3 linked regions of the Oryzias latipes genome follow. Each later gene encodes a partner of the first gene's protein in a complex. Links are inferred from orthologs where the notes say so. Each region holds a gene or a part of one and is shown on either strand. Other genes may lie near its edges. The genes, in order: pdrg1, ASNSD1 upstream open reading frame protein and ruvbl2.

The links.
Region 2: pdrg1 (region 1) and ASNSD1 upstream open reading frame protein share a complex: the UniProt entries of both Homo sapiens proteins name them as parts of the PAQosome complex. The link is inferred for Oryzias latipes from reciprocal best matches to the Homo sapiens genes PDRG1 and ASDURF.
Region 3: pdrg1 (region 1) and ruvbl2 share a complex: the UniProt entries of both Homo sapiens proteins name them as parts of the PAQosome complex. The link is inferred for Oryzias latipes from reciprocal best matches to the Homo sapiens genes PDRG1 and RUVBL2.

What each region holds. Positions count from the first base shown.
Region 1 is NC_019863.2:18,202,511-18,206,263, reverse strand, and holds the start of pdrg1 (p53 and DNA damage-regulated protein 1), read left to right. Parts: upstream 1-939; 5' UTR 940-983; coding exon 984-1,067; intron 1,068-1,818; coding exon 1,819-1,894; intron 1,895-2,036; coding exon 2,037-2,111; intron 2,112-2,190; coding exon 2,191-2,271; intron 2,272-2,346; coding exon of another isoform or gene 2,347-2,372; exon of another isoform or gene 2,373-2,413; intron 2,414-3,246; coding exon 3,247-3,329; 3' UTR 3,330-3,753. UniProt on the Homo sapiens protein: May play a role in chaperone-mediated protein folding.
Region 2 is NC_019879.2:16,672,203-16,675,609, forward strand, and holds ASNSD1 upstream open reading frame protein, read left to right. Parts: upstream 1-1,466; 5' UTR 1,467-1,545; coding exon 1,546-1,626; intron 1,627-1,916; coding exon 1,917-1,970; intron 1,971-2,066; coding exon 2,067-2,142; intron 2,143-2,256; coding exon 2,257-2,297; 3' UTR 2,298-2,307; downstream 2,308-3,407. Other genes in the region: asnsd1 (asparagine synthetase domain-containing protein 1), read left to right, coding at 2,308-3,407.
Region 3 is NC_019872.2:21,691,135-21,694,887, reverse strand, and holds the start of ruvbl2 (ruvB-like 2), read left to right. Parts: upstream 1-1,256; 5' UTR 1,257-1,366; intron 1,367-2,138; coding exon 2,139-2,193; intron 2,194-2,364; coding exon 2,365-2,420; intron 2,421-2,859; coding exon 2,860-3,001; intron 3,002-3,099; coding exon 3,100-3,229; intron 3,230-3,306; coding exon 3,307-3,373; intron 3,374-3,478; coding exon 3,479-3,585; intron 3,586-3,693; coding exon 3,694-3,753. UniProt on the Homo sapiens protein: Possesses single-stranded DNA-stimulated ATPase and ATP-dependent DNA helicase (5' to 3') activity; hexamerization is thought to be critical for ATP hydrolysis and adjacent subunits in the ring-like structure contribute to the ATPase activity.

The sequences.
Region 1 (3,753 bases):
CAAACAGATGAATGAACCAGTGGTCCAGGTTTAGCCACTTAATTTTACTTTGGGCAAATACTGAGACAAAAAAATGTAAACTCTCTTTTCATGTACATTTGGATAACATTTATACTATACGCAGCATAAAACACAGCTGTTTATTCATTTCGCCTCCTCAGTTTCCAAAAAAGCAGTGAAATCAAATGTTTGTATGGGCATCAGAAATATTCTGCTTGTCATAGGCCAATGGGAAATCTTATATGTTCAGATGGTTCAGACTTAAGTTCATCATTAGCAAATATTAAAAACTGTAAATAAGAAAGTAGACCAGATATTTCCAGCAAACATTGGGGGTTACTAAAAACAATGCGGGTCATTGTGATATTTTCTGGGTTCAGCTCATATAGAGAAACAAGATGATGAAATAGCCACTAAATGTGCTTGAATAGTTTCCAATAAAGGATTTTGAGTTAAAGATCAGTCTTAGCAAAGCAGAGATAAAAACATAATCAAAGAGAGAAAGAAATATGACGAAGACACTGGGAGAAGGAACAAAGGAATAATAGAGGGGAAAATGATGAGAGCGGGACAACATAGGATAGGAAAAGAGCAATAACTAGATTGAGACGTAAGACTCGAACGTTTTTAAAACATGAATACATTTTTTTTAAACTAAAAAAAAAAAATCCAAATTTAAACAACCTTGAAATGTTGAACATGAAGTTTGAGGTATCTGTAAATTTAGGCAATGGTCGATGTGCGCTTTTTTTTATTTATGAAATTTTTGCAAATTAAGATTGAATTCATTTTTTGAGAAGATTCCACTCGAATGTAAGTAAGAACGTGAAAGTTAAGAAAAGATCCCGGTTTACACTCCACTCCAGTTGGCGGCGGTAACGACCAGCAAGCTGTTTGCCTACCGCCAAGAAAATGCAGAAGATGAAGCGTTCCGCCTTCTCTTGTGTTTCTCGTAGAACATATTTAGATGCGACACCGCCAACATGGATGCGGGTTCGCAGCGTGTGCTGGACTACCTGACAGAAGTGGAAGAAGCAGCCGAGGAGGTTATCACAACCAAACAGCAGGTATGTTGTGACGAACCGCAAATCGTTTCTTTTTTCAAAAGTCATGTTTAACATAGATAGCTTCAGCTAGCAAAGAGGTCACCGAACCGCTTCACTAGCTTAAAAACAAGTGATACTGAAGTTCAAGTTGGGCTGCCTGGATGATGATCATGATGGATCGAAATTTCTGTTCACAAAATTGAGTAAAAAATATCCTAAAATAATATTTTATGTCATGTTATACTATGAATTAGATGGCGTGTCCAACAAAATATTTTTTGTATTGATGATCTGTTTGGGGAAATTCCACTCACAGAGATGTAAACAAAAAAAGAAGTGTTTTCCTCTACTTAAACGTAATAAAGTTGAAAAGAAATTAGATAAAGATTAGCTTGATACCACTCTTGAAGAAAGACAGAAATTCAAAAGTTCTGCTTTCAATCTGGCTCTATTTGACATTTTAAAGATTTTATAAGAAATTTATTTGCAAATGAAATTTTCTATAAACTACAAGTGGATATTTTAGCAGCTAGTGCAGCAAACACGGACAATTTCTCTTTTAACATAAAATCTACTATAAATTTTGATCATAATATCTGTGACATAAATGGACACTCTGTCTTTGTTAGTTTAGTTCACTTTATATTCTTTTTGGCTGTCACCAGCCAGGGTCTTACTTTGACCCATTTTCTTCATTTAATAACCAAAAATTGGATACTAAATTAGGTAAATATGAATTCATGTGTCTTTCTTTTTTTTTTCTTTTCTTCAGATAGTGGACCTGGACTTGAAGAGAAACCGGAACAGGGAGGCGCTGAACGCTCTCAAACATGAGCTGTCTGATTCAGGTGAGGCAGGACCGGGTCCCGTCATGTTTAGAGGCAAGAAAGGAAAACCTGATCGCTGCATTTATGAAATATGTCAGAAGTGCTGCTGTTAAATAACAAACCCAGCCTTTTCCAGCCTTAATGTTCTTGTTTTTGTTTGCAGAGAATGTGAAGGTTTGCTTTGGAAACATGTTTATTGAGTTTGACAAATCCAAAACTAAAGGGATGGTCCAGAAAGGTAATCCTTAAAGAAAACACACTTCCATGCTTTATGTGTTTATTCATAAAAATAAAAATGTATTTCTTTTGTGCTGCAGACCAAGAACAGCTGGATAAAGAAATAAATAACCTTCGCAGAGAACTGAAAACTAAATTCAATCATCTCAATGAGATTCAAGGTATGCAACTCTTTCAAAATAAGAAAACAAAAAAGGAAAAATTAAAGCTGACAATTTTAATAAAACGCTTTACAGGCTGTGTAGCAGAAGGGGAAACGTGATTCCTCCCTCTGGTCCTGCCCTCCTGTTGGAAGGAGAAGAGGTGTTGCATTTCTCTTTTGGATGAACATAAAGGGGTTTTGGGAAGAAAAGAAGTGCTGTAAAACACTGGTAGCCATTTGGAACAGAGGATGTTACTTTTGACAAGTTGAAAACTCACAAAACTCAAGAAAAGTTAATAAGCTAAAATAGGTTCCTAATTCCAAAATGTTAAACTGACATTTGTGAAAATGTGAAATATCAAGACAAATTAATTAACAGCGTTCATTTGGGGCTTTGCACTGTTTCTGTAGAGTTCAGTTACACAACGTACTTGTCGGTCGTTCCGGTTGAAGCCAGTTGCGTAACTGCGGAGTCCTAAGGTGACACAAATAAATACTGCAAGCTAAGAGTGGAAACACCAAGACAACAGCAGACCTCATAATATATCTTTGTTTACAGATTTCTTTGCATTTTCTCTGACTGAGCTGCTGTAAGGTTCCAATGCCACAAGGGGGCAGCACACTCAAAAGCAGGCGAAATGTTAGTCTACAGATGTTTTCCACCTGCTCACACCTACAGACTGATCTGATCTGCACATGCACTCTTCTAGACACTCAGTTCAGGAGCCTTTACTCTGTGTCCAGGTCACTACAAACATTTTTTTTAATCATTAGTGCGTCTCTAGAGCTATCATTTTCTTTAGTAAAATACAAACAAATTAAAATAAAGTACCGTAAAATGTTTGCACCAGGAGGGGTAAAACTGTCTCATAACAACAGCAACTAGTGGAAAAGATGCCCTGACGCTTCATTCAAACATTCAGAAGTCAAAGTAAGTTTCATCAATTAAACTTTTATTATTGAATAGCTAAAACTATTCCCTTCATTTCTGTAGGTAAACCGGAGCTCAGAGGCTACAGACTGTCTGCACTGTCCTCTGAGGAGATCAAATCTATCAACAGCCTCCTGAAGACCTGATTCTCCGGCTGTTTCGAGTCACTTCTGAGAGAATGAAGCGCCAAAGCTGCAGGCCTGAGTTCCAGCGCCACATTTAAACATCATTTAAACATGCTTATTAAAGGCACCTTGGCTGGACGGTTGGACTGTCGGGGATTCGTGCAGGACACTTCTGCAGGTTCAAAAGATGACAAACATGTCCTTTTTTGCACCCGGTTCCTGGACTGTTTTAATAAAGTTCATATCTATTATATTTACAGTTTTAAAGTTGTTTCCTTTAGTAGACAGCAGCAGAATCTATATTAAACATCTTCTAGAATTGTAGTAGTTAAAGATGGCTGTACTGACTGGTCAAAGTCCACTTTCCAAACTCTCTTTAAAGGAGATGTTTGGATGTCCATGTTCCTCTGACTCTGAAGTTTTTGTGTAAATAATCTTTTAAAAG
Region 2 (3,407 bases), on another chromosome or scaffold:
CCACCAAAGAAAAATAAATACCAAAGGTCACTTTTTGACATGCTCACTGTGTCCAAAATGCTACAAGAAATAGCCAACAGTTGAAAACTGTTTTAAATCAATTCAGTTTAAGACCAATGTAGAACTTTACACAGGTGTGTTTGCCTAGAAACAGTTGTGTTTGCACTGAAAAGGTGTTTGACCCACTGCTGAAGAAAAATCAATCACATTCGTGTCATCTGTTGATCTCTACCAACAACTGCAAACTTTATTTTTTTCAATAATAATAGATCACCAGCAGCATAAATAAGGAAAAATACTATTTTAGCTTTCTCTCCATCTTAGGAGCTTCATGGCACAGTTTTGACTCAAACTGAAGAGTAAAAAAAACAAAACAACTATGAGGTATGCAAAAGCTATTTAAATGCTGAGAGACTTCAAAAGAAAAAAGGCAAAGACAAGGTTGAAATAAGCTGCAGAGTTCAGCAGGTATTTCAACATTCATTTTTTTTTGGTTGTGTGATCTTTGAGCAGGGAGGTGGGGGTTAGGTTGAAACTGCTTTTAAAGGGGGTTAAGCATCTGTTCGTCTACAGACAGATCAAGTCAACAAAAAGCTTTAGTCCCCGAAAAAATGCACTTGCATGTGTTATTTTTAATTTGATGATTCAACATCAGCAGATGAAAGCATGTCATATTATAACTAAAATATAAAAAAGCTAAATTATCTTAAGACAAGGCAGGTTGGTTTGTCTTCAGCCACTACTTTAGTTTAGTTTTACAAGTAAACAATGAAAAAATACTTTTTTAACTAGAGATACTGTTCCAGCCTAGCAACAATTGGCTGGAGGTGTATTTCCCCCCAAAAGCAATATTTTAAGAAGTGTTTCTGGGGTTAAAGTAAAGGGTAGGGTTAACAAAGGTGCAGCTTTCAGAGGCTCTGATGTCAGAAAAAAAAGGAAAAGAAAAAAAGGAACAAGACACAGACAGTTAATTGGGTGTTTTTAAAGACTACTTAATAGCTTCAGGTGGTTTTGAAAACTGATCAAAAATGATCAACATATCAGATGTGCAATGGATTCATTATTTAATTTATGCTTAATTGATTTTATTTAATCAGTGTTTCTTTTTGTTGCTTTTTTCTTATATGGAAGTGTCACTTTAAATGAAAATTAAAACCGGGTAGAAACAGAAAAGTCTAACTTCTTCTGTCTCGAACTTGCTTAGCTGATTAAATTTTAACCCAATTCCGTTTAAAAAACTTTTTTGTAGTAGCCCAATACTATTTTTTTAGTCTTAAGAAAGTAAATTACATCAAATCTGTTATTTAAAGACATTCTTATTCAATCTGTGTTTACCCCTTGGTTACCTATAATTTGGCAGGCCCCGGACCCTGAGATGTGTAGCGGGTGTTTTACAAATCTGGCCTCTAGGCGGCAGTGTGCTTCGAACTCCCCACCTATTTCTTCACCCGGAACGGTTATGACGCATATCCGGACATGTTTGTCGCAGAAGTAGACGCTGTTAAGAGAAAAATTAGATAAAAAGTTTTCCCTCGTGGCTCCTTTATGAAAATGTCTTCAAAAAAATACAATAACAGCGATAATTCCCAAGAGCAAACCACATATAAAGAGGAACTCAGTAAAAAGGTAACTTTATATCAAAGACGCGCTACTGTTAGCTGGCTAAACAACACGGATATGTTTATTCACCTTTTTCAGCATGTATAGTAGAACGGAAAAACGAATAGCAATACTTTTGTTAGTATTTACGCACCAATAGTATGTATTTACTGTTTTAATAAGTTTCGATTTTCTCATGTTTGCTGGAAAAATGAAGGACTGCTGATCTTTAAATTAAAACTTAACATGATGGGATACATCTCCTGATGGCTTCATCATCATAGGGTTGTTAACGTTAACTTGTTGCTAATTTCCAGATCAAAGAGCAAAAGGTCGTTGTGGATGAACTCTCTAACCTAAAGAAGAACAGGGTACGGTAATTACCTTTTTACATCCATCCATCCATAAATCCATCCATCCGTCGTAATAAATTCATTTTTTATTGATTTTTTTTTTCTTTTCTTCAGAAAGTTTACATCCAACAGAGAAACAGCAACATTTTCTTCCTGGCTGACAGAAGTCAAACATTGTCTACAAGCAGAAGTATGTGTTAGTATTCATTTATCCTCTTGCATTGAAATTTTTACAATGTTGTACCATACTACAATATAACTCACCTTTTTTTTTTTAAAACTTTTTTTATTTTTATTCTTGCAGAGGAACTGGATTACTTGAAAAAAGAACTGCAGGATATTTAGAGCTGCAACAATGTGTGGAATCTTTTTCCAGTTGACTTTGTCAGCTGCTCAATTTGAGAAGGACAAAAGAATTTATGAATTTCTGAAGAGAAGGGGCCCCAACTCTAGCAGGGAGCTATCGTTTCCTGCTGTAGATTTGAGCTATCACTGCTCATTTTCTGCCCATGTTCTCCATATGAGAGGCCTCCTTACTCTTCAGCCGTTTCAAGACGACGCTGGAAATGTCTTGATGTGGAATGGAGAGGTTTTTGGAGGGATTTCTGTGATGCCAGAAGAGAATGACACCACTGTCATCTGTCAGAAATTGTCATCTTGTAAAAACTCTTTGGAGGTTCTGGCACTTCTGTCTGCCATTCAAGGGCCTTGGGCATTTGTTTTCTATCAAAAGGCTGAAGATTATCTCTGGTTTGGGAGAGACCTTTTTGGAAGGCGCAGCTTGCTGTGGAAATATGACGCCGAGATCAGTGTCTTCACTTTGACCTCAGTGGCAGCTGGGATTTCTGCGCTGGGTCAGTCTGATTGGAAAGAAGTCCCAGCTGTTGGCGTGTTTAAGGTTGATGTAAAGGCAGCTGCACAGAGTGGTTCTGTGTCCTTTGAGCTTTTTCCCTGGGCAAGAAATGTCATAAACCCATCATTGAGTGAAATGATGGTTAACTCTGTCCCTAGTGGGTGCAATTTTGAGATAAATCGAGCAGGTTTATCAATCACTTCACCTGTTTGTCCTTTGAATATGTCCATTCCAGAAAAAAAGGTTGAAGTTAATCCCAGTTCACAGGTGTCTGGAGGAAATCTAGAGGAGTTTCTAATCAGCAAGGAGAAAACTGAAGTTGTGAACCGTCTAATTGGTGTCCTGAGTGAGGCGGTGAGGCGACGAGTTCATTCGTTGCCTTTTGTGGCAAAAGATAATTTACCTCTTAGCAGTGGCCAGGCTAGCATTGCTATACTCTTTTCAGGAGGCATTGATTCAATGATCCTCGCTGTCTTAGCAGACAAACATGTACCTGTTCATCAACCAATAGACCTTCTTAATGTGGCCTTTAAACTAAAAGAGCCAAAAAAGCAGCCTGAAAAGAAACTCAAAAAACAAAGAAATAAATCCAACAATTCAGA
Region 3 (3,753 bases), on another chromosome or scaffold:
ACAACGATGAGTTTGCTTCATCCTTGTCTCTTTCATTTCAGTCTTGAAGAACCTGTCATTTTCAGCATCCATCTGTTTCCTGAATGAAACATTATGATCTGGAACCCTTCAGCCTTGAGGGTTGAATTTGATGATTTATGGAAAGGATATTAAGACCCCCTCTGTAGCACTTCAGAGGGGTCTGCTCCTTCGAGTTATTTCGTCTAAACATTTTCAACAATTTCTCTGAGGATAAAGAGATTATCCTCAGACTTGGCAAATAAAAAAGGGAGATGCAGTTTTTTTACAAGGTAAATAATAAGAAACAACACCCATTCCTACACTTCATACCTTATGTAGGGGTTGTTTACACTTACTCCCTCTAACTGAAATATCTCTACAAGCATCATTTAGTTTCATGTGGCTTCTGTCATCAATCCTATAACTTTGGTTTATTAGTAGATCTCTTACTATAACTTTGTCTATATGAGGATCCTTGCACAACATTAATCTTGCATCCTCTAGTGGAAAAATCTGTGCAGTGCTGCTGGGCTTTTCTTCAGACTAATCAGGTTTAGTCACATCCTCTGCAAACCAACAGGGTTTCTTTTGGGTCAAAATGGAAAGTTTTTGAAACCTCTTAGTTTCTCTGACCAGTTTTGGTTCAGGAGATCACCTATGGATTATATAAGTCATGATAAAGAGAGAAAATTACCATAAGGACTTCAAGCACACATTATAAAAGCAGTGCATATTAAGGGAGTACATGTTTTTTAATGCATGATCATATTTTTACATTTGTTGGGAAATAAATATATGAATATTTGTGATGTTTTAGGTTTAATTATCTTTTTTTCAAGGTAACAGCATGATAAGTTGTTTAAAATGTGACGTTTTCTTATGCATTTCTTTAAGTTTAAAGTATTTTTTTAAACTACAATTTTAGATTCCTTGGTTTTATTTTGTTCAGATGACTGCAATCCAGGTCTTAAATTATTAGCAACCTGAGTTTATTTTTCTTTCTAATCTTTAATCTGTATTTGAATGCTTAAAATTTCAGTTCTAATAGTTATAGGTATCAAAAATGCCAAAAACATTATTTGTTAGGTAGTAAATTTGACACACAGAAAGATAATTTCGAAGTATTTAAGTATTTTCAGGTTATCATTATCGTGACGATCAAGACAAAAACGTAGCTTTCATCTCAAAAACAAATCCGGGCTTTTACGCCAGATTTGTAATTCACATTTGAGTCTATAGAGGGCAGTCCCAATAAACTCTAGTAGCGGAACTGAACGGCTTCGCATGTTTCTTGTCGGACACATTTAACCAGTACTCCCTGAGAAAGAAGCGGCGCTTCTCACGTTTTTTAAGTGTGGCTGCGGAGGTGAGTCCTGAGTTTGTAGTAGATGTTAAAATCAATTTGGACTTTAATATTTTCACCCAAGTAGTATAGCCAATTTATTTTTAAGTACTTCCGCGTGTCATGCAGGCTTTTATTACCCGGCTAATATGGCGTGTGCTGTTGTTTTGCGTTATGAACGGTGTGAATGATGCTAGCTTGTTTGCTAATATCGTTAGCTGATGTTACCTGTCGATTTTCTCCCCCCGTATTCATATTAGAAAATAAACTAATTTCAGTGAAGTGTCAATTTTTCTAAACCTGATTTACTAATACTTTCCTTCCTAGATATGTTTCACAAATATGCGTATATATATTTTAAAATGTCAAAGAGTGTTGACTAAGCTTTGCTGTTGTGTTGTGTGTGGTCATTCATTGCTGTCACTATGACAACGGACAGGACAAGTGGAGCATAAAAGGAATTCCACATTTATATTGCTTTGACAAAGTCTATGTGGAAAACACTAAAACATTGGTGAATGGAGGATGCAAATTTTAACTCTCTTTGGAAACGATAAACATCCAAAAGTGTCATCGATATTTGAACACACACATAAGGAATTCTTGCTGTTCTTTTTCATAAGCAGGATTTTTAAACAAACAATAAAAAATGCTCTTAAGATTTAGTCAAAGATCAACGAAGGCCTAAACTCCTCTGAAAATATTTGTTCTTTTGTTTACGATGAGGCAAATTGTTTTAAAAATGTTTCTTTGCATTTTTTTGTTTTCTTCTTGTCATTGATGTATTATTCTACAGATGGCAACTACAAAAGTGCCAGAGGTTCGGGACATTACACGGATTGAAAGAATAGGTAAGACCCCATGCAGATTTTCAACACTTTAGAAATAAATGGTAAGCTTAAATTGAATGGTAAACTTTAGAACATGCCTTATCTCTACATGAGCTGTGTGTATTTATTTTTGCTATGATTTCCCGTATGTTTGTAATATTTTGTGTAATAGTTTCATCTTTGTGTGGTTAGGGGCCCACTCTCACATTCGGGGCCTTGGTTTGGACGATGCTTTGGAGCCCAGACAGGTAACGTGCAGCACTTCTGTTTGTTGATCTCTGTTTTGACCCAAGACTTCAGTAGTTTTAGGTGTTTGTAGTTTTGATAAAATTATGGCTTTTTTTTGTAATTCATGTCCTTTAAAAAGGCAAAAACTTAACAGAGGAAAACATATTTGGATATTTTTAAACTGCTGTTAAACTTGAGAGGTTAAAATGTTTCGAATGTACCTTTTAATGTTTTGTTGTGTGTGGAAACAACATGAAGCAGTATAGAGGTAGTCAAGTAGCAAAGCGAGACTTGATTCTAAAGCCCTGTTGTCAGCACTAAACCCACATGTTGTGATTCCAACAGGAAAGTCTTTTAGCAGCTTGTTTAAAGCATTCAAAATGTCCCTTAAGTCAAAGGATAAAATCCGAATGAGGCATATTTGCTGCTGAACGAGTTGAGTTCCCTGTTCACCTGCAGGTGTCACAGGGGATGGTCGGCCAGCTGGCCTCCCGTCGAGCAGCAGGGATAATCCTGGAGATGATCAAAGACGGACACATCGCCGGCAGGGCCGTTCTGATTGCTGGCCAGCCGGGCACGGGGAAGACGGCTATTGCTATGGGTGAGCATGGGACCAGAAATGATGCATACAAGTTTCCACCTGAGGCAAAGTTCTGTTGGCTATTTGAGGCTTGTTGCATGTTTTTCTTTCATCTACAGGTATTGCTCAGTCTTTGGGCCCTGACACCCCCTTTACAGCTCTGGCTGGAAGTGAGATCTTTTCCCTGGAAATGAGCAAAACTGAAGCACTGAGCCAAGCTTTTAGAAAAGCTATAGGAGTGAGAATCAAGTAAGTATATAAACAAGGTTTAGGTTGTTTTTTTTGGATAGAAATTAAGTCCGCTCTCTTCCCCCCCATAAATCCAGAGAGGAGACAGAAATCATTGAAGGGGAGGTGGTAGAAATCCAGATTGACAGACCCGCCACTGGAACAGTAAGATCCTTTCACTTCATAAACAGTCTTTCCATACCATAGCTTTAGAAAACGTTGATTTATTTAGCTGATTCGCCTCATGTTGAGCTGGTTTGCTTTAATCAGGGTGCAAAGGTGGGGAAGCTGACTCTGAAGACTACAGAGATGGAGACAATATATGACTTGGGGAACAAGATGATTGAAAGCCTCAGTAAAGAGAAAGTTCAAGCCGGGTGAGTTCATCTTCTCCTCATAAAGCAATATAAAGGTTTGGGTTTTGTTTTTTTCTCAGTCCTATCTAAATGGAGCTTTTCTTGTTTGTCTTTAAACACACTTTTTAGTGATGTTATTACCATTGACAAAGCCACCGGGAAAATCTCCAAGTTGGGGCGCTCCTTCAC